Linked DNA regions of Schizosaccharomyces pombe. Changing the gene in region 1 together with any one later gene gives a genetic interaction. Each region holds a gene or a part of one and is shown on either strand. Other genes may lie near its edges. The genes, in order: sap18, SPOM_SPCC417.09C and SPOM_SPCC306.07C.

Region 1 (6,444 bases):
TATTTTATTAGCTGATGCTTGTCGTAGAGGTAAGCCATGATTTGTTAAACACTGAAATTTTAGCCTTATTAACTCACTGGTTTTTAGACTTGGCTAATAATAAGCGTCAATAATTCCTTTGAAAATTTCCTTTTTTTGGTCAATATATTCGGAAACCGTGAACTAATTGCTTATTTAATCGTAGTTCGGTTATTCATCATGTGTCCCATTGCGATTTTTTTCATGCCCGCAAAAGGAATATACATGTGTATATACATCATTTTATTAAGGACCATTGTTGTTTGAAGGTATTTTCCTCCCCTTTCATTCATCCATATTCTTACTACCTTTTCGCTTTTCTTTTAAATCCAGCTTCCCTATTATGCCTGAAACCGATCCCTTAAAATTACCGTTTTATTATCTTCAAAAAAAAAAATTAAGTAGAAAATTGTTGGCGTTTACATGATTTTTGTGTACGGCTTCTTCCATTAATATAGTTGATGAGACTTTGTCAATTATCATAAAATACATACATCGTTACATATCGGTTTATTGCTGCGAGAGGGAATTTTTAGCACTCATGCATCATTAGCAACAGAGCGTTTGTATTACTTTAAAAGATATCCACTCAGATTTGTGTTTTACAAGTCTAATTCTTCTTCCAATTTATTTTACTGATTTCATTTGTAGGATTCAACCGATCTCACCTTTAAGCCAATCAGGCACACTCTCTTTCATCGTTTTTTTAATATATTTTGTATTCTTTTAAGATCTTCCCAGTGAATGATACGATTTTACTTTTTTAGTGTTCTTAGTTTTATTCTAAGTTAATCATGAAAAACGTCTTCTTTTTAAAAATAATTGAAATGTTCAGTAGTAAGTTGAAAGTAAAATCGTATTTATCTACTACATACGGTTGAGCAGCATAAGTATGATATCGCATTTGCTGCCAACTACCTCACTCACCATCCACATGCCATCTATCATATTATATCCCATTTACTTTGACAAGAGCCGTCCACGTAGGTTTCGTTGTGTACCAAAAGACAAAGCAATTTTAAATCCGTTAGCTAAAAATATTGCCGATGTTGTTCGCGATTTGGGATATAAATGTAAATTGGAACCATTGAAGACACATCCTGCAGATTGGGTCAATCCAGGTCGAGTCGAAATGGTATTACCTGAAAAAATACAAAGTAAGATTGTTATTAGTTTTATTTTCTCGTATGCTAACTGACTGTGAATGTAGAAAAGTATGTCATAAACGAAATCGCCAAAGTACTACTTCTTCGCCCAACTGTTAAGACAGATCCTTTATCGTTACCTATTCAAAATGTTCCCGCACGTCTTCCTGAAAATCCTCCTGCATATCCTAAGGGGGTTTTAGGAAATACGATTTTACCTCTTCATTCACCTGCTTTATCTGGCGGTGGTATCTCTGAAAATATGTTCCAGGAAATGATGCAGGAAATGCAAAAGCAACCTGGATTAGCTGGAGGTATGAATCCAATGGCTGCACTTGCTGGTATGGGAGGCCCTGCTCCTCCTATGCCAACTCCCCAAGCATCTTCAAGCCAGCGAAAACAAAAGTCAATTGAACCAGAATATGATTTGGATTTGGAGTAAACTTATTGTTTAAAACTGAAATATTAGGAATATAGGTGCTTTCGACTATTAGCAAACGCTCATGGATATTAGTAAATTTTTTTTCTCGTCATCTTTTAACAAAAAATTTTTTCCTAATAATGAGTATGGATGTAGAGTTTCATTAAAGATGAGTTCATTTGCACAGCACATTCTGCTTTTTTAAGACTGAGTTCTGGTGGCATACTTAATATTTTTCTGTCTTTTATAAATGTTTCGCCTCTCGTTATATCAGAAGCTGTTTCATTGTAGTTTCTTTCATGCCAATTCAGAGGCGAAATTTTTGAATATTCTATCATTAGTAAACCATGTTTGACATAGTCGTTTTCAAAAGTTTAGTGTGAACTGTATAATTAAATTCTTTTTCGACAACAAATAGCATCTTTTTCGTACTTCAATCCGTATATTCAGGTAAGTTTGATGACTCTCTTTCCTGAAAAGTAATAAATCGCTTTAAAGCTTGCAAACACTAACATGTGAAAGGTTAGACTGGGTACTTTATCTAAAATCTTACCTTTCTCTTCTTTTCGTCTTTAAGTATATTTGAACTTGGATTTGCTTGTAATCGTTGATGTGCACTTCTTTCATGAATACCAACCATAGTAACTCCAATAGGCCAAGGTGCATTTCCAATTGTCAGACGTAAATACATATCATTGGCTTTGACAAATTCGTGTTTTTGGCATCTGTAACAAATTTCAGCTATGCTTTTAAAAATATCGTCGTTTAAAGCTTCATCGACTATCAGTTGTATAAGTACATCAAGATCTTGCTTAGCTTGACGAAATATTTTTAATTGCATCTGACTCTCAGAACTTTCGAAAGAGTTGATGGATTTTGAAGACAAAAAGTTGTCCCAAATGCGGATTCCATGTTGAAGAAAAGCAACTACTTGCTTGGATACTTTGGGTTTGGTGGTAGTAGCATGCTCAAAGTCGATTGTTTCAACTCCTTTAGTAAGGAGTTCATTTTCAATTTCTTCCAGTTTTTTGTATTTTAGCAAACTGTAATATCGTTGAATGGTAGCCTCTTCTGACTCTCCAAACAAACGAATTGGCTCTTTCATCTCACGAAGCTTTGCAATAATTTCGGTCAACGTGAGGTTGTCTTTTGTGATTTCAGGTATTGATAAACGGTCGTTTTCGGAGACAGATAATTTTGTACTTGCAGGTGACGCTTTGACAGCTGGTGAGGGAGTTGTTGTTTCTGTAAGCAACTCTTCATTTCTACTGCTCTCTTTGTTCGCAAGTCGTGAAATGCGTAACTTCTTTTCTTCATATTTAAGACGTTCTTCTTCCAACTTTCTTTTTTTCAACTCTCTTTGCTCATCCTTTTGTTGTTTTTCCTGCAGATATTTCTTTTCCCTTTCCTTCTCCCAATCCCCTCGTCGAAACGCCTTTTTTACCGGAAGTTCGCTCGTTCCTTCTAGTTGGCGACGTTTACGTTCAATTTCTTCCTTTAAAAAATCCATTTGGGAGGTTTAGAAATGGATATTCGTGAAAGTCGCTCTCAATCTCCTGAATTAAGCCAAAGTGAAGATGCTGTTGGTCCGTGCCCTTTTCTCATTTCAGTATATCATCAGTTCCAAACAAAAAATCATGTTTTAGACATCTTTGAAGACGTGATTCCTTCTATTCAAGTTTATGGATGGTAAGTAAATCGTGTTAACGGGAAAATTTCAGTTGTTGTATATGAACTCATACTTCATTGGGACTACGATTAGAAAATCCGTCAAAGGATCATCCATGAACAATTTATATGTCAATTAGATTTATATGTTTCAAATCTTAAACTTTTATGCTAACGATTAATCTTAGGTTGACCATGACCCTTTATGAACTGGGAGTTCTCATTGCAGATCAACTTCTTTTGAATAACGAAGAAACAAGACATTCTGAATGGTCATTGCAAATTAGAACAATTTTTTACGATAAGTATAAAGATCGCCCGATAGCCAGGGATCTAGGTACTGTTTGTTTGCACAATCCAAAGCTATTTCAAGGCAACAAATTATTGAAAAGAACGGGAATAAAATGCGGAGACAAAATTGATGTTACCATAAAAGAGGATAAAATTAGAATAAAAAAGTGATTCCTTGATCGGATGGTACATATATATTTTTTGGAAGTTTAATGGGTTTGAGAACGATATAAAAAACGAAGTGCATGACTGAAGAATTCTATTGTAAGATTTATTTAAAAGCTTATCTTAATTCTATTTATATACAAAATCATAAACCGCTACAACCCTGTTCACTAATCTCATATTGTATGTTTATAAGCTTTGAAGCTTTGAAAAGATTCGAAGCTCTTTAAGTTGAGAAATTTTTTTTTCCCATACTCTTAAAAAAACCTTTGACGCATTAAGAAAAAATTGTTAGTGTACTTACTATTTTCCTTATTGAGTTATGGAGATATACTTTAGCTCGAGGCCTATCAAGGATTCAGGAATCACTTCTGCTAAATTTATATATATGCTGTAGGAAAAGAAAGCGTTTTTTTTATTATAATTCACATTGGAAAGGATTCAACACTTTAAATAGCAGAATCTTTTATCATTTTTTTTGAAGCGATGGATTAAGCGGTTAATGTTTTCCATTGTTTAATAGCGCTAACATTCGGAAATCCGATTGAAACTATTTTTCAAAAAAGAATTATAACTTCTATTATTAACATGGTTGATATTCGCATGATAAATGCACCATTGATCCTCATAATGTAAATATCTATTCCTTTAAAAATGCTGTCAACTCACCTTTGGCTACTTAACTATTTTCAAAATATAAAACTCGTATTTTTTTTTTGCCTAAATACAATTAAAAAACCATTCGCAACCCATACAAACAGAAAACGGATTGTAAACAGTTAAATTATAATTCAGGCAAGTAACAGACTTAAATATTTATAAAGTTTTATTACAGCCCGATGTTATCATTGCTAGAGTAAATGAACATGAATCAAGGTTACTCCGTTTGCAACAGCTGTAAGAAGCTGAATTGTTATTTTCTGAATCGGTGCTACAAGCTAACAGCCCAAAATCACTTATTATTTTTACAACAACTTTAAGCTGATATCTTCGTTTCATAACTAAATCCAAAGTATATTCCTTCAATTATTTAATTTCATTTAAATTTAATATGAGTATTACAATATGTATAACTAAAAAAAATAAGTTTTCAATAATCTCCTTTAGTATAGGGGTAGTACACAAGCCTGTCACGCTTGCAGCCCGGGTTCGAATCCCGGAGGGAGAGTAAATAATTGAAACTTTTTTATTTAGCTAAACAAAGCTTAGTTTTTGAAGCTTTGGCATCATTATGACCGATATTATATTAGTAAAACATAAATCAAAAATTTCCTAATATACCTGGTTCAAGATCAACCAGTTTGGTTCTCTAAAAAATGTACTTCATATAGAAGAGTAAGAAGAATCTACAAATTATGAGTTTTGTGAAAAGTCAAAATTAATGCAATTTAATTTTAGCATTTCTTCAATTTATGTTAAATAAGTAACAGCTTTTTATTTTAGTAAATCTACATGGTAGTCAAAGGATCAGCATCCATAGAAGATACAATCACATTTGCATCTACTCCTTCTTTGTGAAAGGATGAAGCCAGTTTTTGACACATTACATCCTTTAAATAACCTCTTTCTGTATTGGAATGTCCGCCTACATTGTTGTTAGTTGAATAATATATAATACCAAAGAGGTGAACTGAACAGATTTTTCCTTACATAATATAACTGAGATTCCTTTGGCCATCGCAGCTAAAACTTGATGATGAGACAATTCACCAGTAAAGTAAAGATCTGCATCCGTATTCATAACCACAGATCCACCAGAACCTGCACATAAAGAAACCTTGGAAATATGAGAATCTAATCCGTTAGGTGCACACACTTGGACTACAATCAAATAGGTTAACAATATTAACAATAAAGATAAAAAGAAGCTCACCATATTGCAAGCCGGTTAACTCCTTAGCCCTTTGGACCAATTCACGCAAGGTTGTAGGAATCTTCAGTTCGCAAATTCGACCGTAACCTTCTGCCTCAGCCATGACAGAATTTTGCTGAGTTGGGACCACGCTTTTAATGTTGTTTCGTCCTCCAGCTATACCTTGGGCCAGCCAGTCATTTACTCCATCAACAGCAGCATCAACGGCTGTATGAGGCGAGTAAACGTGAATTCCTTCAGCAGCAAGTTTTAAAAGGCTTCTTTGTTGGGGATCCTCCATCGTGATGGCTTTAAGCCCACGAAAGATAATGGGGTCTAGTTGTGAGTAAGTTGTGTAAACAATAAAAGTAGAAGGTTAACCGCCATACGATATGCTACAATAGATGATACAAGTTTATTTGAAATAGCTTCTTCAGCAACTTTCTCAGTCAAGTCAATCGTCAAAAGTACGGAACTTGCATTTGTTCTTGGGAAAGGAGCCTCAAGCAGAAGCCCAGTGTTGTCCCAAGAATCCGCCAATTTTGGATTATAGATGGACTCAACTACTTTTTTTAATTTGGAAGAAATATTTGCCTTAGACATATTTGGGGAAAGATACCATTAAACGCAGTGATTCCTGAACGACCGTAAGACCACGTTTACGACAACACTTAGTCCTAGGATATGCTTTCTCAAATCTGCTAAATTCTGTAGAGCATGAAGGAATTCTAGCAACGCGTAGCAATACACAATTTTAACTATGCAGTCCTGCGTATCGGTAAAAAAATATTGAACTGCATAGCGAGCATTAAAAAACGATTAGGTAGTACTTTATTATTTTACCGATATTTTTTTATCTATCCTAATACAGCTAAAAAAATCTA
Region 2 (8,372 bases), 450 kb from region 1:
CATAGGCATTTCAGTTAAATGAATTGGAGCTTAAAACTGAGCAGACGAAAGTGACAAGTTTATACTGCCCTATTTGAAGATGTTGAAATGTGACAATAGTTTATTAAAACTTTCAAATCAGGCTTTTAAGTCGCTATGAAGCTCAAACTTTGTTTGAGGTTATTCTTAACAGCAATTTGTCTATGATCTGATTATTTGACATTTGCATTCTTCTAGTTTTCTTTGTTGGTTCGTAGATATTTACAATTGATGTTTAGGTTGATTAATATATGTATAGAAGGCTAAATTTATCTTAAATATTGTGAGTTTCCGAGAAAAAGTCTCGGGGACTTTTGCTACTTGGAAATCTACAGTATTCAGTAACGTTCGTAAGACGAGTATATTATTAAAGTCGTAATAAGAAAATAATAACAAAAATTAATAATAAAGCTAAACATACAAGCACAATATGTCAATCGACGACATCAAGTTAAACAAGAAACCATGGACAAGGAAAATCAAAATAATTAAAAGGAATAGTGTTCCTAAAAACAGAAACTTTCTTTCTCTTAAAAGTGTATTCCAGCTAAGAAAGAAATATTTCGGAATATACGACTAAAACCTGCTTTAATAACTCGAATGAAAAGTTATTACGGTAGTTTCCGTACACTCATTAGTAGTATACAATAATTAGAAAGCAATGACCTGCAAAGTGTACAAATCATAAAGTGTATCTGAAATCAAGATTCTCAAAATCTGTAAGATCTTCAAATTCAGCATTGGGACGATGCTCAATCTTTCCCTCCGCAGCCAATTGATCCCTACGCTTGTTTTCTCTCCAATTAACATAGTAAAGAGCAGGAAATGTGACTAAAGTTGCTGCATAACAACCGACCATGGTGTTCTTAGCAGGCATATATTCAGGAGCGTCAGCAGCTTTGAAAGTTTGAGGGCCGATTAAATTTCCCACACAGTATCCGATAAGATAGATAACACCAACAGTGACTTTCTTTGTATAACCAGAGGCGTTGGAAGAAATGATGGCGAACATGACAATCATGGCACCTGGAGAAACCATCAATAAATAGTAACCTGCAAGCTGTGCACGAGGAGGACCAGCGAAAGAAAGCAAACAGGATCCAATCAAGGCAATACATGTGGTGATGGTAGCCAAAACCATACGTTTATGAATGAACAAACTCAAAAACCCAAAGGCGATCAATCCACCAAATTCACAAGCGCCGGCAGGAAGACCCATAAGCAAGGTTTGAAGGGTATCATAACCCATGGTACCTTTAATTAAAAGAGAGGAAAATGTACCGATACCACCATTGGGAATATTCAAAAGAACGGATGAGACAAACATAATCCAAGTACGAATATCAAGCATGGTTTCCTTAAACTGATACAATTTAAAGTGATTATTACCAACACCTTGCTTGTTGGCACGAAGACGCTTGACAACCAACTTACGATCTTCTTCAGTGAGAAACCAGGCTTTGAAAGGATTGTCGGGAACGACGGCAAGAATGACAAATCCCAAGAAAATGGCGAGGACACCGCAAATAATGAAAATAAGCTTCCAACCTCTCATGGGAAGACTGGTCCTCTTGGCCAAACCATAAGCCATGCAGCTACCAAGGATCTGACCCAAACCATTAAAAGCGACCCATACGGAAGTACGAAGTTGTTGTTCACTGCGCTTGTACCATTGAGCAGTGAGAAGAATGAAACCAGGACTGGCGGCAGATTCCATCATACCGAGAAGCACACGAAGAGCGATAAAGCCAGGATAGTTGGCAACTGAGGTCATGCAAAGCAAGAAACCCCAAATGACTAAGAAAACACACAAGGTCTTGGATAAAGGAAAGCGCTGAAGAAGAAGAGATGCAGGGAATTCGAAGACAAGGTAACCCAAGTAGAAAGCAGTACCTGACCAACTATACATTTGACCTTCCATCTTCAAGTCTTCTTTGAGACCCATGATAACGGCATAGGAATTTGAAGTTTTGTCCAAAAATTGGATGCAGTATACTAGACACATGACGGGGAAGATTGTGCAATCGATTTTGCGTACCAATCTACGCTCCGTTTCTGGATCGATCTCATCGTAGTCGACATCAAGGGCGTAATTGAAAGCAGCATCCACGCCTTTTGGCGAGAGATCGCCAACGTCGACATCGAGAATTTCCTTATTTTGGACACTCTCGGGATCTTTCAGCTTTTCGTCTATACTGATGCTTGACATTTTCTCGCTAGGCGCTTAAATATCTAAGCGGGATTATGGTAGTATGTCTAAAAGTAGTAGAGAAAGGAAAGGGAAAAAAGAAAAAAGAATTAAAATTAGAGGAGGGAAAAGAGAATGAAATTTAGTAAAAGCTATTTTCGCCAACACTTATAATGAGTGTAGTCGGGTTGTTTTTCTTATTGAGGATCGATATACTAATGAAATTGGCTTGTAGCATTGCAAGGTGATCCCTTCCTTTTAAACCAGGCAGACAAGCTCTTGACTTGGTTATCTGGCATCCACCCTCCGGTTGGTGTACCCGGTTTGTAATCTCGAGTATGTTCACTGCATCGCACATTTTCCTACATACCAAAAATTCTACTGTTGCACCTATCATTAAACATTGCAATACCTACCAACTCTACCTGGTTTTAGCACTAAATACCCGATATCGTGCTACCCCATTGTTCCTCCAAAGATCTTCTGAGCCCGGAGATATAGGAGAACTTGATAATGTTAGGTAAATTGGCAAAGTTGATGCGTCAGTCTCCTATCTATTCGTCAAGTTTCATCGTTTAAACAAACATCCAAGATCGGATATCAGGGGCGTAAAAACCGTAAATACTTGATAAAATAAATAAATGATGGAATGAAACGCTTCCTAAGCAGTCGAGCCAACATTGGGTCTTGCATTTCTAACTTTGCAGGAATTTCTTGATGAGAAATGGGGAAATCAAGACGCATATCATTCATACGTTGATTTTTCCTCATCCCAACGCTAACATCGAGCTCCCAACTCATTTTTTAAATTTTTCGTCCAAGCACTCATAGCGCAGCTTATCACCACTTACCACATATACTAGTGTAAAACAGTACTGATCGCTCGCCATGCTTAGATATGATTCCACCAAGATAGCAATAGATGTCTAAGTCGGCTATAGCCACCGGAAATATAATACACTAAGACACTGGGTATACCAAGAAGAAATGATAGTGTCATCCATCAAGGTCATTATTTCGGATTTAGAAAGGCTAGTGATATTTCTCTAAAAATTGCACAGTGATTGTGGAAATGCGGTGGAAGCCGTGGGGCTATCAGGATAGGATTGCTAGGCATGCCGCCATTTCCAAGATAATGGGCGAGTACGCAAACGTGCAAACCACTGTTAACGGATGGGCCCCGAGATCTCCGAGAGCGAGGAGAACTGGAGCTGGAGTTGCTGGAGTGAATTCCATACACAAAAATCGAGGGTTTTCTGTTTGGATAAATAGCTTAGAATAGTAAATGCTTGAGTTCCGCTGCATTCTCACTGCATGCATGCTAGGATGCAGCCCCATGAGGATAGGAGTCGTAGTGGCATGAGTAGAAGCGAAGCTATGGAGTTGGAGGATCAACTAGAGGAAGAAGAAAGGGGTGGTAATGTTGTTGTTGGCAGCAGCAGCGCGAACGCGAACGCGAGCACAGCAGAAACTGGGAAGAAGAGCGCTGGAGGCTCAAAACCGAAAAGAAGAAGAGGCGAGCGAATTCCACCTTCAAAAAGGATTCGAAAAGCTATTGCGTATGTAAATAAATATGCATCTGGTTGTTTTGGTCGAGTTGAAAGACGTTTAGTTTGTACGCGTTCGATCAGCCGCCATTCCAACCAAAAGTTGCTTGATTTGTTTGTTATTACTATATTTATTGTTTTCGTATTATTTAGTTGATCTATTGAATTATGTAGTTGTTTCTTTATTTCCTTACTTTACAATTTTTTTTTGGTTTTATTTTTTCTACTTTTTTTTTGTCTATTCATTCAAATGCTAATATTAGTTGTGTGGAATGCAAAAAGCATAAAATCAAATGCGTCGGTAACTTTCCCTGTGGCAGATGTCTTAAAAAAGGATTAGAATGCGTAATAGAAACTCCTCCTAGATTGCTTATGAATAAAGACGAAATTTCTCTCAATCTTCAGAGACTCAGTCATATGGAGACCATCCTTTCTAAACTCATGCCAAGTATGAGCTTGGATTTGCCCAGCTTGGAAGCAAAGATTGCGGAGCTTAGTGAAAGCCTTCAAACCTATCCTGATAAAGTACTTACCGACATCGAACTTGGAAGCTATCAACAAGTGACTTTGAATGAGACACAGACATATTACGAAGATGCCGGCTCTAACGAAAGCTTCGTCGCTCGCGTGCACGAGATCATTTGCCAGGGCAGGGAATTTCAGGTGCAGCATAAACTCACTAACGTATGTATTGATGGATTCATCTACTTCATTTCATACCCTTGCTATGTTGTGGGGCATCATCGATTTTACTGTTCTTTACTAACCCGTTTTTCTCAATAGAAAGGAAATAAAACATTTGAAGATATTTTAGATCCCGCCGATAATACTGTCGCCTCTTTAATCCATGCATTACCCCCAAAGGATATCACTTTTTATTTACTTATGACATTTTGGCAATTTTCTAGTGACAACAACCATTTTTATTATAATACCAAGCTGTTTGCTGCAAAAGTCCATCATCTTTTCGATGATCCAACTTCCTTTCAATCAAAAGATGGTGGTTTTGTGTGTATGCTTCTTCTGAGCATGGCCATGGGCAGTCTATTCTCCTACATTCGCCATCCAGAGTTCCTTTCTGATGAAAATCACGATCGTTGGACTTATCCTGGCTCTCAGTTTTACCAAAACGCCAAACTTCTTTTTCCCAAAGTCATCAGTGAATCGTCGTTGGAAACAGTACAGTCTTTCTTCCTAGCCGGTATGTATTTGTCTCCAACATTGGCACACGAAGTTGTATACATGTACTTTGGTATAGCTATGAGAGCTGCTGTTGCCAATGGTATGCACAAAAAGTCTGCGAATGCTCAATTTTCCGGAGATGTTGCTGAACTTCGTAAACGGCTTTTCTGGAGTGTATATTGCATGGAAAGGTAAGGCTGTTGAAAACTTCCCAAGATTCATGTCTGGGAAGAAGAAGAGAATTTTTTATTATTCCTCCTCATTATTTTATGCTAACGTTTAACTTTTAGAAAAATAGGTATTTCTCTGGGCAGGCCCGAGAGTCTTGTGCGTTCCGAAATTGATATTCATTTTCCAGAATACCGTGAAAGTTTAGATTCGCAAAACTTCATTGCCAGCTTCCGGACCTTCACCTTAGCTATTAAAATTTCCCTTCTAACTAATAAAGTCTATGACATGTGGTATTCCTCGCTACATGGAAAGGCGAACTTAAAAGCAGCTACCATTAAAGAGATTGTAAACGAAATTGAGGCATGGCGCCAACAACTGTCTCCTGATCTAGAAATACAAAACATTGGCCCAGATAGCAGGTCTTACAGAGGTATCGTTCATTTGCATCTAGCTTATCATATTGTTCGAATTGCCATGGGCCGACCGTTCTTACTACACCGGCTTCGTGAAAGAACGATGAATAGTAAGACGGATGAGGGAGCTAGGCTTCTTACTGATAAGTTAATTTCATACTGCTATTCATCCGCTTTGCACATTGTCGACCTCCTTGTACTACTAAGAATGCACAAATTTCTATCTGTCTATTCATTTATGGATTACCATTCATGTCATGCCGCCTCTTTTATCATTCTGGTGCATCTTCTAATCAACCCGTCTGAACAAACGATCGAACAACTGAATACGGCTATTGACATTTTGAATTTTGTTACCGACAGATTTCCACTTTTAAAAGGAAGTACGGATGTCATAACTAACTTGCGGGCATTTGCTGAACAAAGCGAGGTATATCAATCAAGGCTTAATGCTACCGAACCAGCTTATTCGACGCAGGTGCCTTTCTTCCCTAGAGATGCTGATTATCATAATCAAATCAACCTACAAAATCTTTGGAATGATGAAAATATCAATGCCTCACTAGAGGCACTTTTCAATGATGCGAAGGGTTTTGGCTTTTTACTCCCCGCTGATAACTTCATTTTCCCTAGTGACGATGGAGACATGTAATGATGGCTTTCTTTCGAAACTACTCAAACCTGAATTTTAAAAAGGTCGATATTTTAATTTACCCTTATTCTTTTCTCCTAGTTGGTCTACCTTACTGAACATATTTACTATTAAAGCAAATGAAACTGAAAGTTAACCCTTTTTCCCATGGTCACATTGCATCCTTTTTTTATATGATCAAATCATGCTGATTTGACCAAATCCTTTTCCAAAAAAAAAAAAACAAAAGATAAAAAAAATAGGCAGTTGCATTTTTTAATGAATACATAACGTGCATAACTGTTAACACAATTTTACTTCTAACTTTATTGTATCTTTCCTTTTGTCTTATCTAGATTAAACCCGTTTTAATGGTTCTCAATTAGAAGCAATTGTTTTAGCTTGGTTTCTAATTACCCTCTTAAAGGAATTAAAGGCTTCAATTGACGAGTGTTGAATTATTGAACAGAAAACTGTACATACACATATACAGTTGCGATTCGCTGAGTATGATAGAAATTTTCGTTATTTCATTTTATGGATATTAGCAATTCAATATTTTAAGTATCATAAACAAGCTGAATTGACAATCATTTTAACGTATAGTCCTTTTGACTTTCACAGTCTCATATAAGTTTCCTTGTGTAAACGATAACTATGGAAATACTGGATAGCGTCTGCAATCAAGAATGAAAAATAATAACTAGAAATGAATTCAACTAACTGATTAAAAAAAAGGAGCCTACAGCACCCCGGATTCCCATGTTGTCTCCAACCATAGTACTAACGAGGCCCTCAGACGCTTAACTGCAGTGATCGGACGGGAACTGGTGTTTTCACCTAGGTATGGCCGTAGACGTTCGATAATGTAATAAATGATTTTTATAGCGTTCATTAGGGGAATGGATAAAGGTTCTTTAAATTTATTTCAGCCAATATTCCCTTAAAGAGTTTCTAGTTGGACGATTTAACTAATTGATTGACTCAAAATTTAACAATTATTATAACGCTTTTGTATATTTCTCTTCAACTTTTCTACCAAAGAAAAGGCTTCTCTTGATGACTAAGTATTCGACTGTCAAGTTTTGTCAATTTAGTCTCAAATATTTCGGTCATGGAATCATGCTTCCTCAGAGCTTAAAATAGGATAAACGAATTCGGTTTAGAGAGTTTTTTTGCATACCTATGTTACCATTCAAAATCGCAAGATGGAGTTTGGTGCACATATTTAAACGCAACTTTAGAAGCGAATAAGGCCCCTTTGAAAAACCGGTGCCCATGCCATATAATGCTTTTGAGTTTGAGCGATACAGATGCTGCAGTTGCAGAACCTCGAATTAAGGCATAGCTTGAAATAGCTCTCATGATTTGCTAGACTATTATGTGGAAAACACAACAGATATTCAATTGATTCTACATTTGGCAAATATTCGTTGCAATGAATGGGAATGAATACCTCGCCCATAGTCCTCAATGTTCAGTGTAAAGCATCAGCTAAGTGAGAAATCTGCAATAGTCGCAGTAGTTGCAATGTCGATAGTAACATAAAAATGCTATACTTTTGGGATAAAAATTTCTCAGTCACGATGCTTGAGAAACTGCATTGATCGATATTCAATATTTGCAAGTTCTGATTCTTGTTACAACTTTAGGATATCATTTTTATGCGAATTTCCTAAAAAGGGATTTTTTTTCCTTGACCAGTTTACTCATTGATTTATTTCAACAACCTTCCAAAGAACTCCAATGCTAAAAGTATCACTTGTCCTCACACTTCTGAACTATTTACTCTTAAGATTAGATGAGAAACTCACAATTCAAGCTGAAGCGAGCTCTGCAAGTCATTAAAATTATTCAATTCCAACAACTAAGCAAAAAATTATTTAAAGTCAAATAAACAAATGAAAAAAATAGTTGCGCGGCCAGGTTTCGATCCTGGGACCTACGGGTTATGAGCCCGTCGGAGTTCCACTCTCCTACCGCGCACAAATACCGTCACCAGCAGGATTTGAACCTGCGCGGGCAGAGCCCATTAGATGACTAGAATACAGGATTCAAGTCTAACTCCTTAACCACTCGGACATAGTGACTTCTTGAAAGCTATCTCAAATTTGTGATATATATTCACAGTTTTTGTAAAAGGTTAACTAAATCTGTTATTCGAGAATTTGAATTGTGTTATACAAATTGTAAAACTAGTTGGTAAAAGGGATTAATTATAT
Region 3 (6,511 bases), 1.7 Mb from region 1:
AATGTGTACTTCCCCACATACATCTTTATATTGAATGGGATCGGATAATGCGCGGGAAAAGTTGTTGTCCGTACCACGAATTGCTACGTTGACTTTATGATATATGCGTGCATGCATACATACGAATAGTGGTTATTTTACGAGTTAAACGATATAGAAGCTTAAATTTAGTGATTGTTTGTGTGCAAATAGAATTTATGGATGACAATGATAAGGCTGTTGTATATGACGCTTCCTCATTTCTTTTTCCCTGTTGATTTTAACTCGAAAGGATTTTAAGTGTCTTCCGTTCGCCAATTGAATTCATCATCATCTTCTTTTTGTTTTTGTTTTTCAGTCTAAACAAATCCTCTAGCTAAGGTATCATTTTCTCGATTGCTGTTTTGCTCATGTTATGTTTTTATGAAAAAAAGCCATGCTGTTCAATAAAAGAGGAAAGGAAGATTTTGGAAGTTTTATAGTTGAATGAGTTCATCTATAAATATATACATATATACATATATATAATATACAAAATATTTTTTCTTTGAGGCTTGAACTATAACTTTACAACTGTCACTTTCATTCTTACATTGTACAGCTGCCTGTATAATCTGTTTCCATTGTAGAGTTGAAATAGTACAGTAGCTTTTCTTTCTGCCAAATATTTACAGTAGTGTAGCAAGAAGCCACTATACGAGTTTTAGGAATTTATTCCGCATTGCTTTGCACTGTCCTGCGGTTTGCTATTTTAGCCAGTCGTCGTTCTTGACAAATCGGCGTTCGATCTTTAATGCCCGTTGAGATCGATTGCGTAATGCTACAACCTTATATTGAGTGTAAGCACTACCCCACAATTCGTATATATACTGTACCAACTCACTGTGTGATTCTCAACTTCAACATATCTTCCAAATAGTCAACGTATAATCAACAAAGCTCGGGACCTTGCCTAAAAGTATCTAAAACGACTTCCAAAAGCGTACCTCGAACTTGTTAAGTTTAAGGTAAGTAAAAGTGAGTATGCAAAACGATCAAGTTACATCCCAATTTGCCAGAAAAAATATTTTAAAAATGAATAAACCGACGTAAATACTACTCTTGAGACCTTTTTATACACACGAAAGTCGATATTTTTTTTGGAAAAAAGTCTTGACATAAACAGCTACGCCAGTCTTTATGTACCGTACCCGTTTCTCCGAGGTCACTAGGTACAGGACTTTCTGAAGGAATATTTTATAAGAGATGCTATACGCATATGCTTTTTTATGCTTAGAATCGGCATGAGGAGTTTGTTTGTAACCAGGATGTCGAGTAGCTTTGCTTTGCTAGTCAGTCCGTATAAACGTTATGGTGTAGGATGCGGCTACTCATGTTTGCATATATATACATATTTTATTTTCAACAAATTTTTCTAACTTTTGATATAGTGTCTAGTATCTTCTGAAGAAAAGAAGAATCAACCTTTCAACTGGACATTTTCTATTGAAATTTCTTTTACCCCCCTCTCTGTCTCACACACACTCTCTCTATTTTTTTTAAATACCCGTGTTCTCTACTTTGCTTTGCGAATTTGTACCTTTCAAAGATGTTTGCCAAAGTAGCTTTCAAAAACTTTACTCCCCTTAAGAGTATCGCTCCCCGTTCTTTTTCTACGACCTCCAGTCGCGCATTCAAAGTAGCCGTTTTGGGTGCTGGAGGAGGTATTGGCCAGCCTTTGTCAATGCTTTTAAAACTGAACGATAAGGTTAGTGAATTGGCCTTGTTCGATATTAGGGGAGCTCCTGGCGTTGCTGCCGATATTGGACATATCAATACCACTTCCAATGTTGTTGGCTATGCTCCTGATGACAAGGGACTTGAAAAAGCCTTGAACGGTGCTGATGTGGTCATTATTCCTGCTGGTGTTCCCCGTAAGCCCGGAATGACTCGTGATGATCTCTTTGCTACTAACGCATCGATTGTGCGGGACCTTGCTTTTGCAGCAGGTGAAACTTGTCCCGAAGCCAAATATCTCGTTGTCACTAACCCCGTAAACTCTACTGTGCCCATCTTTAAAAAGGCTTTAGAACGTGTTGGCGTTCATCAACCCAAACATTTGTTTGGTGTCACCACACTTGACTCTGTTCGTGCCAGCCGTTTCACCTCTCAAGTCACTAATGGCAAGGCAGAACTTCTTCATATTCCTGTTGTTGGCGGTCATTCCGGTGCGACCATCGTACCTTTGTTGTCCCAAGGCGGTGTTGAATTGACTGGTGAAAAGCGTGACGCACTTATTCACCGTATCCAATTTGGTGGTGATGAGGTTGTAAAGGCGAAGGCTGGTGCTGGAAGTGCGACCTTGTCTATGGCCTATGCCGGTGCTCGTATGGCCTCCTCCGTACTCCGTGCTTTGGCTGGTGAGTCTGGCGTTGAGGAATGCACCTTTGTGGAGTCCCCTCTGTACAAGGATCAAGGAATTGATTTCTTTGCCTCTCGTGTAACTTTGGGTAAGGATGGGGTTGACACCATTCACCCTGTTGGTAAAATCAATGATTATGAGGAGAGCCTTCTTAAGGTAGCTTTGGGTGAGCTGAAAAAGAGCATTACGAAGGGTGAGCAATTTGTAGCATAATCTTTTATGAATAACAGAAATGATATGATATTCTTTATGAATGTTTGTTTTCTCTTGCTTCTTTCGTGTGTGTTATTTCTTTTACTTTAGTCAAAAAGTAATCTGTATACTGCATTCATAGTGTAGGTATGAATGTAAAAATTATGTTACAAGGTTTCCTTTTATATGTGCGGTTGTATAGAAATTTCATATCTATTGAATTCCGTTTTTACAGTCGAATAGATGAGGGTTTTCAATATGCGGAGTTTTGCGAAAAGCGATGATTCAAATTTACAATAACCACTAAAAGAAAATTGTTAAACAAGTAATAGATAATAAGTTTTCCATTCATTCGACATTTGCGGTTCTTGAGTTGTTGGCCTTATTTATCTAGTATCGTTTCAAAGCCATCAATTTAATAAGGCCATGGCATATAAGACAGAACAATTGTTCTTTGATTAATTCTTTACAAACTAAACTTTGATAATGATATGCTACAGAACTTTCAATAGCATTGTAATATTAACTTCTCTGACCAACCCAAGTTGAACTTGCAAAAAGCCATCCATTACTTACATCTTAATAGAAATGGCGATTACAAGTGAAAAAAAGAAAAATTTAAAGTCATTGGATAAAATTGACATAAAATTAGTAAGAAATTTTTTTTTTAATTTCAAATTATCGTGCAATTTACTTACAAATAATCAATAGCTAGAGAAAACAATTAGAGCCCTGCTGCAGCACATTCGATCCTCTGATAAACCTATTGAAAAAGAAAAGGTTTATATTCAGGTTAATACATTCCAACCCGTTGAGAAAGAGTCGCTTAGAAGACCATCAAAAGTGTAAGTGAGCATTAATGATGAATTAAGTTTCCTGAAGTAATAAGATCAACAATAAAATTTTTGTTCTTATAATTACTTAAAACCTTAAGCTTCTACTGCTTGTGCAGAAATAAAGAGGTATTACGGTTTTGTTGATTTGCTAATAAATCAAGCTTGTTGTAACATTCATAGAATCGATGCGTGTTCTTCATTAAAATTATAAGGTACTAACTATTTTACAGATTCCTTCCGCACAGGATAATGCATGTAACAGATGCTTGTTTGATTGTGAAAGATTCACAGCAGACATATCAAGATCTGGTGGAGCAACAAGGGCTTGACGAAGTCATTACAAAAGTACTTAGCATCCCGAGATTGAAATTAAAGTATAAAACAATCCGAGAAAAATGTGAGCTACGAGACTCTCACAACCTTTTTTTGGTTGATGATCGTGTATTAAAATACATCCCCCTATTGATGGGGAAAGTTTTTGAACAGAAAAAAATTAAGCCATTTCCTATTTCTGTTTTACAAAAGAAAGAGACTTTGCGTAATCAAGTTGCTCGTTGTCTTCATTCTACTTATCTTAAGTTATCTGCCGGCACTAGTCATACCATTCTCTGTGGTTTGGCCACTCAAACCAATGAACAATTGTTGGAGAATATTACGACTGTATTGAAGTGTCTGCTAACTAATTTCATTCCGAAAGGGTGGTCTGCAATTGATAATGTTGCGATTAAAACAGCTGACAGTGCCTCTCTGCCAATTTGGACTAGTGACACCAATCTTGCTGCTCATAAAAGACACATTGTGCACATTCAAGATGCAAGACCTCTTAAGAAAAGTGAACTGCGTGCTCAAAAACGGGGTTCTTCTGGAGAAGGCAAAGGGAATAAGTGAAACTGACTTTCGCTTTCCTAAATTGAAAAAAAAAAGTATTTTAAAATAATTACCATTTTTCTACTAAGGCTAGAAGAAAGAGTTTTGACAATGTATTTATAAACACCATTTGACTTTGCCTGTTTCAAATTTCTGATACATTTCTTTCCTTCGATGTTAATTAGTTATGTGAAAAAGCTTTGAGTGGCTGAAAGCAAAAGGGATTTACAAGGGCACGTCTTTTATAAACGGGTATTTTGGACTGAGTAATAAATAAGGGTTTTTGTGTATAACAAGTGTCATGGACTATTGTCATGATTTTGGAACAAAATCTACACCGTCTTGTGTTTTGTAGTATTATTTTTTTCTCGTAAATAACATGTTATATTTACATAATCTATCTGCTTATATGTAGCTTGTTCATTCAGAAGGATTTTAGTACCTTTAGATACTGAAAGTAGTATATAGAGCTATTCTCTACCACTCCAACGCTCAAGCAATTGACAACATCCAAACTTGTCCAAAGTAAAGAAAATTTAGTGTCAAAATGTTTTCTTGGAGTATTTTATTTATAGTTTGCTTTTCTTTAGTATCAGCATTTAAAGATACTTCGCCGATTTTCTTATTTTCTACGAACTCGTATGTCCTGCATCCATCGATGGCATTATACTGTGTAAATTATTTAATCTAACTAAAAACAGCAAACTCCCCAAATCATCCGATGATTCTTCAATATCCACTTGCCCTATGATGTTTTTTGACGCCGCAATTGAGGCACTTTCGACATGCAATACAGCTACCTTAATTATACATCAACCAGGCCTTGAGGTTAATGATTTTCAGTTGGGAGCTTTTAAACATTTAAAGCGTGTTTCTTTGCAATCACCCTATAGCTTACTTCTTCCTTATTCCAAGGAGTCTTTGGACTCACAAGAGTTGGTGCATTCGGCAAAGCAAAACTGCGACGTTGAGGTAGTTTACTTGGGTGGATCCTTTAATGCTTTTCCTCCTCTTCAAAATGATCGCATAACTGTTGTTTACATGAATGAACTGTCAAATGAAAGTTATCATAGAAGTGCACAATTAATGGAATTGGATGAAATGTTCTACAACTTACAATCTACCTTGGAACAAGATGCTCAGTGGAATGTAATTATAGCCTCTTCTCCTTTGAATAACTCAGATTTTGAAGGATTTAAGGTTGATGCTAACGAAGAAGAGGCCAATGCTGAATTTGTAATTCAAACGCTAGGTGGTCTCAACTCAGGGAAGAGTGCTCTTCAACACGGCCAATTGGCTTCTTTACCTGATCAAAATGAGGGATCACAAACCACGCTTGCTATGCACCAAACAAGGAAGCACCCTGTCACCGACAATGGTGCGACGGGACTGTTTACCGAATATCAATTTTTTACTCCTGGTTTGTACATGGGTTATTTGGCATTGGCTGTATTGGTTCCAACTTTGTTTATTTCTTGCCGTTTACTTTCCTCTATTCAAATCAGCTATCACGCTTTTGATAGTCCTCGACGCAAACAGTTATAAACCTCTTCTTAAGGTGAATAAGCTGAAGAAGTTTCAATTTATTTCTTTCTTTCATAATTGATACATCTCACACTTAATTTAGAAGAAAATTATTGTCATAAATGGTTCTTGATAAGTATAGTTTGGTGACATTTTTACCTTTCAGCGCAATTCCTTAGGTGTCCAAATGGTTAGAATGATCTTTGTTTTTTAATATATTGAAGTCTATTAAATAGTTTTTTGGACTGAAGAATTTATTTCTTGTGATGAGACAAACTTTATAACCATAATATTGTTTTTTCTTTATGATGATTCTCTACGGAAGGTGAAAGTTGTTGGCATCATGTAGTCAGCATAACTTTGTTTTGCTTTTTGTATTCTATTCAATTAATATTTTTGTTTTGCGGTTTTAAAAATAGTAGATGAATTTGCTATACTTTGAATAAACTAGAGAAACCACTTTAGGCATACAGACTCAATTATGAAATTTCCTTAATTATTTAAAGCAATTTCTTCGTGGCTGATTGTTTCGTAGAATGAGTGTTTGCGAGAGTTTTTTCCTTGGATATTTTCGTTATTAGTTAACATTGTCATTACTTATGGCATGCATCTTCAAGTGATCAAAGCACAATATACCTTAACAATAAGAGTAATATGGATGCAGAAAAGTTTTGAGTATATTTCTATAATTTAGAAAGGTCAAATTCACATA

The links.
Region 2: mutations in sap18 (region 1) and SPOM_SPCC417.09C together harm fitness more than expected from each alone (negative genetic interaction), as found in Schizosaccharomyces pombe (one large-scale study listed by BioGRID).
Region 3: mutations in sap18 (region 1) and SPOM_SPCC306.07C together harm fitness less than expected from each alone (positive genetic interaction), as found in Schizosaccharomyces pombe (one large-scale study listed by BioGRID).

What each region holds. Positions count from the first base shown.
Region 1 is NC_003421.2:2,137,840-2,144,283, reverse strand, and holds sap18 (SAP128 family histone deacetylase complex subunit), read left to right. Parts: upstream 1-3,094; 5' UTR 3,095-3,109; coding exon 3,110-3,273; intron 3,274-3,440; coding exon 3,441-3,714; 3' UTR 3,715-4,401; downstream 4,402-6,444. Other genes in the region: lsm2 (U6 snRNP-associated core protein), read left to right, coding at 1-29, 88-113; putative signal recognition particle subunit Sec65, read left to right, coding at 953-1,175, 1,229-1,605; U5 snRNP-associated protein Prp18, read right to left, coding at 2,018-2,092, 2,138-3,094; SPOM_SPCC126.12 (NGG1 interacting factor 3 family protein), read right to left, coding at 5,157-5,293, 5,359-5,529, 5,582-5,896, 5,950-6,163.
Region 2 is NC_003421.2:1,689,581-1,697,952, reverse strand, and holds SPOM_SPCC417.09C (transcription factor), read left to right. Parts: upstream 1-3,368; 5' UTR 3,369-3,520; coding exon 3,521-3,867; intron 3,868-4,016; coding exon 4,017-4,437; exon of another isoform or gene 4,438-4,536; coding exon 4,537-5,126; intron 5,127-5,225; coding exon 5,226-6,171; 3' UTR 6,172-6,734; downstream 6,735-8,372. Other genes in the region: dipeptide transmembrane transporter Dal51, read right to left, coding at 701-2,227.
Region 3 is NC_003421.2:417,785-424,295, reverse strand, and holds SPOM_SPCC306.07C (U3 snoRNP-associated Cic1/Utp30 family protein), read left to right. Parts: upstream 1-3,125; 5' UTR 3,126-3,160; coding exon 3,161-3,223; intron 3,224-3,283; coding exon 3,284-3,417; intron 3,418-3,596; exon of another isoform or gene 3,597-3,638; coding exon 3,639-4,296; 3' UTR 4,297-4,667; downstream 4,668-6,511. Other genes in the region: mdh1 (malate dehydrogenase), read left to right, coding at 1,568-2,593; family protein BIG1, read left to right, coding at 4,823-4,914, 4,977-5,820. UniProt on the Schizosaccharomyces pombe protein: Involved in rRNA-processing and ribosome biosynthesis.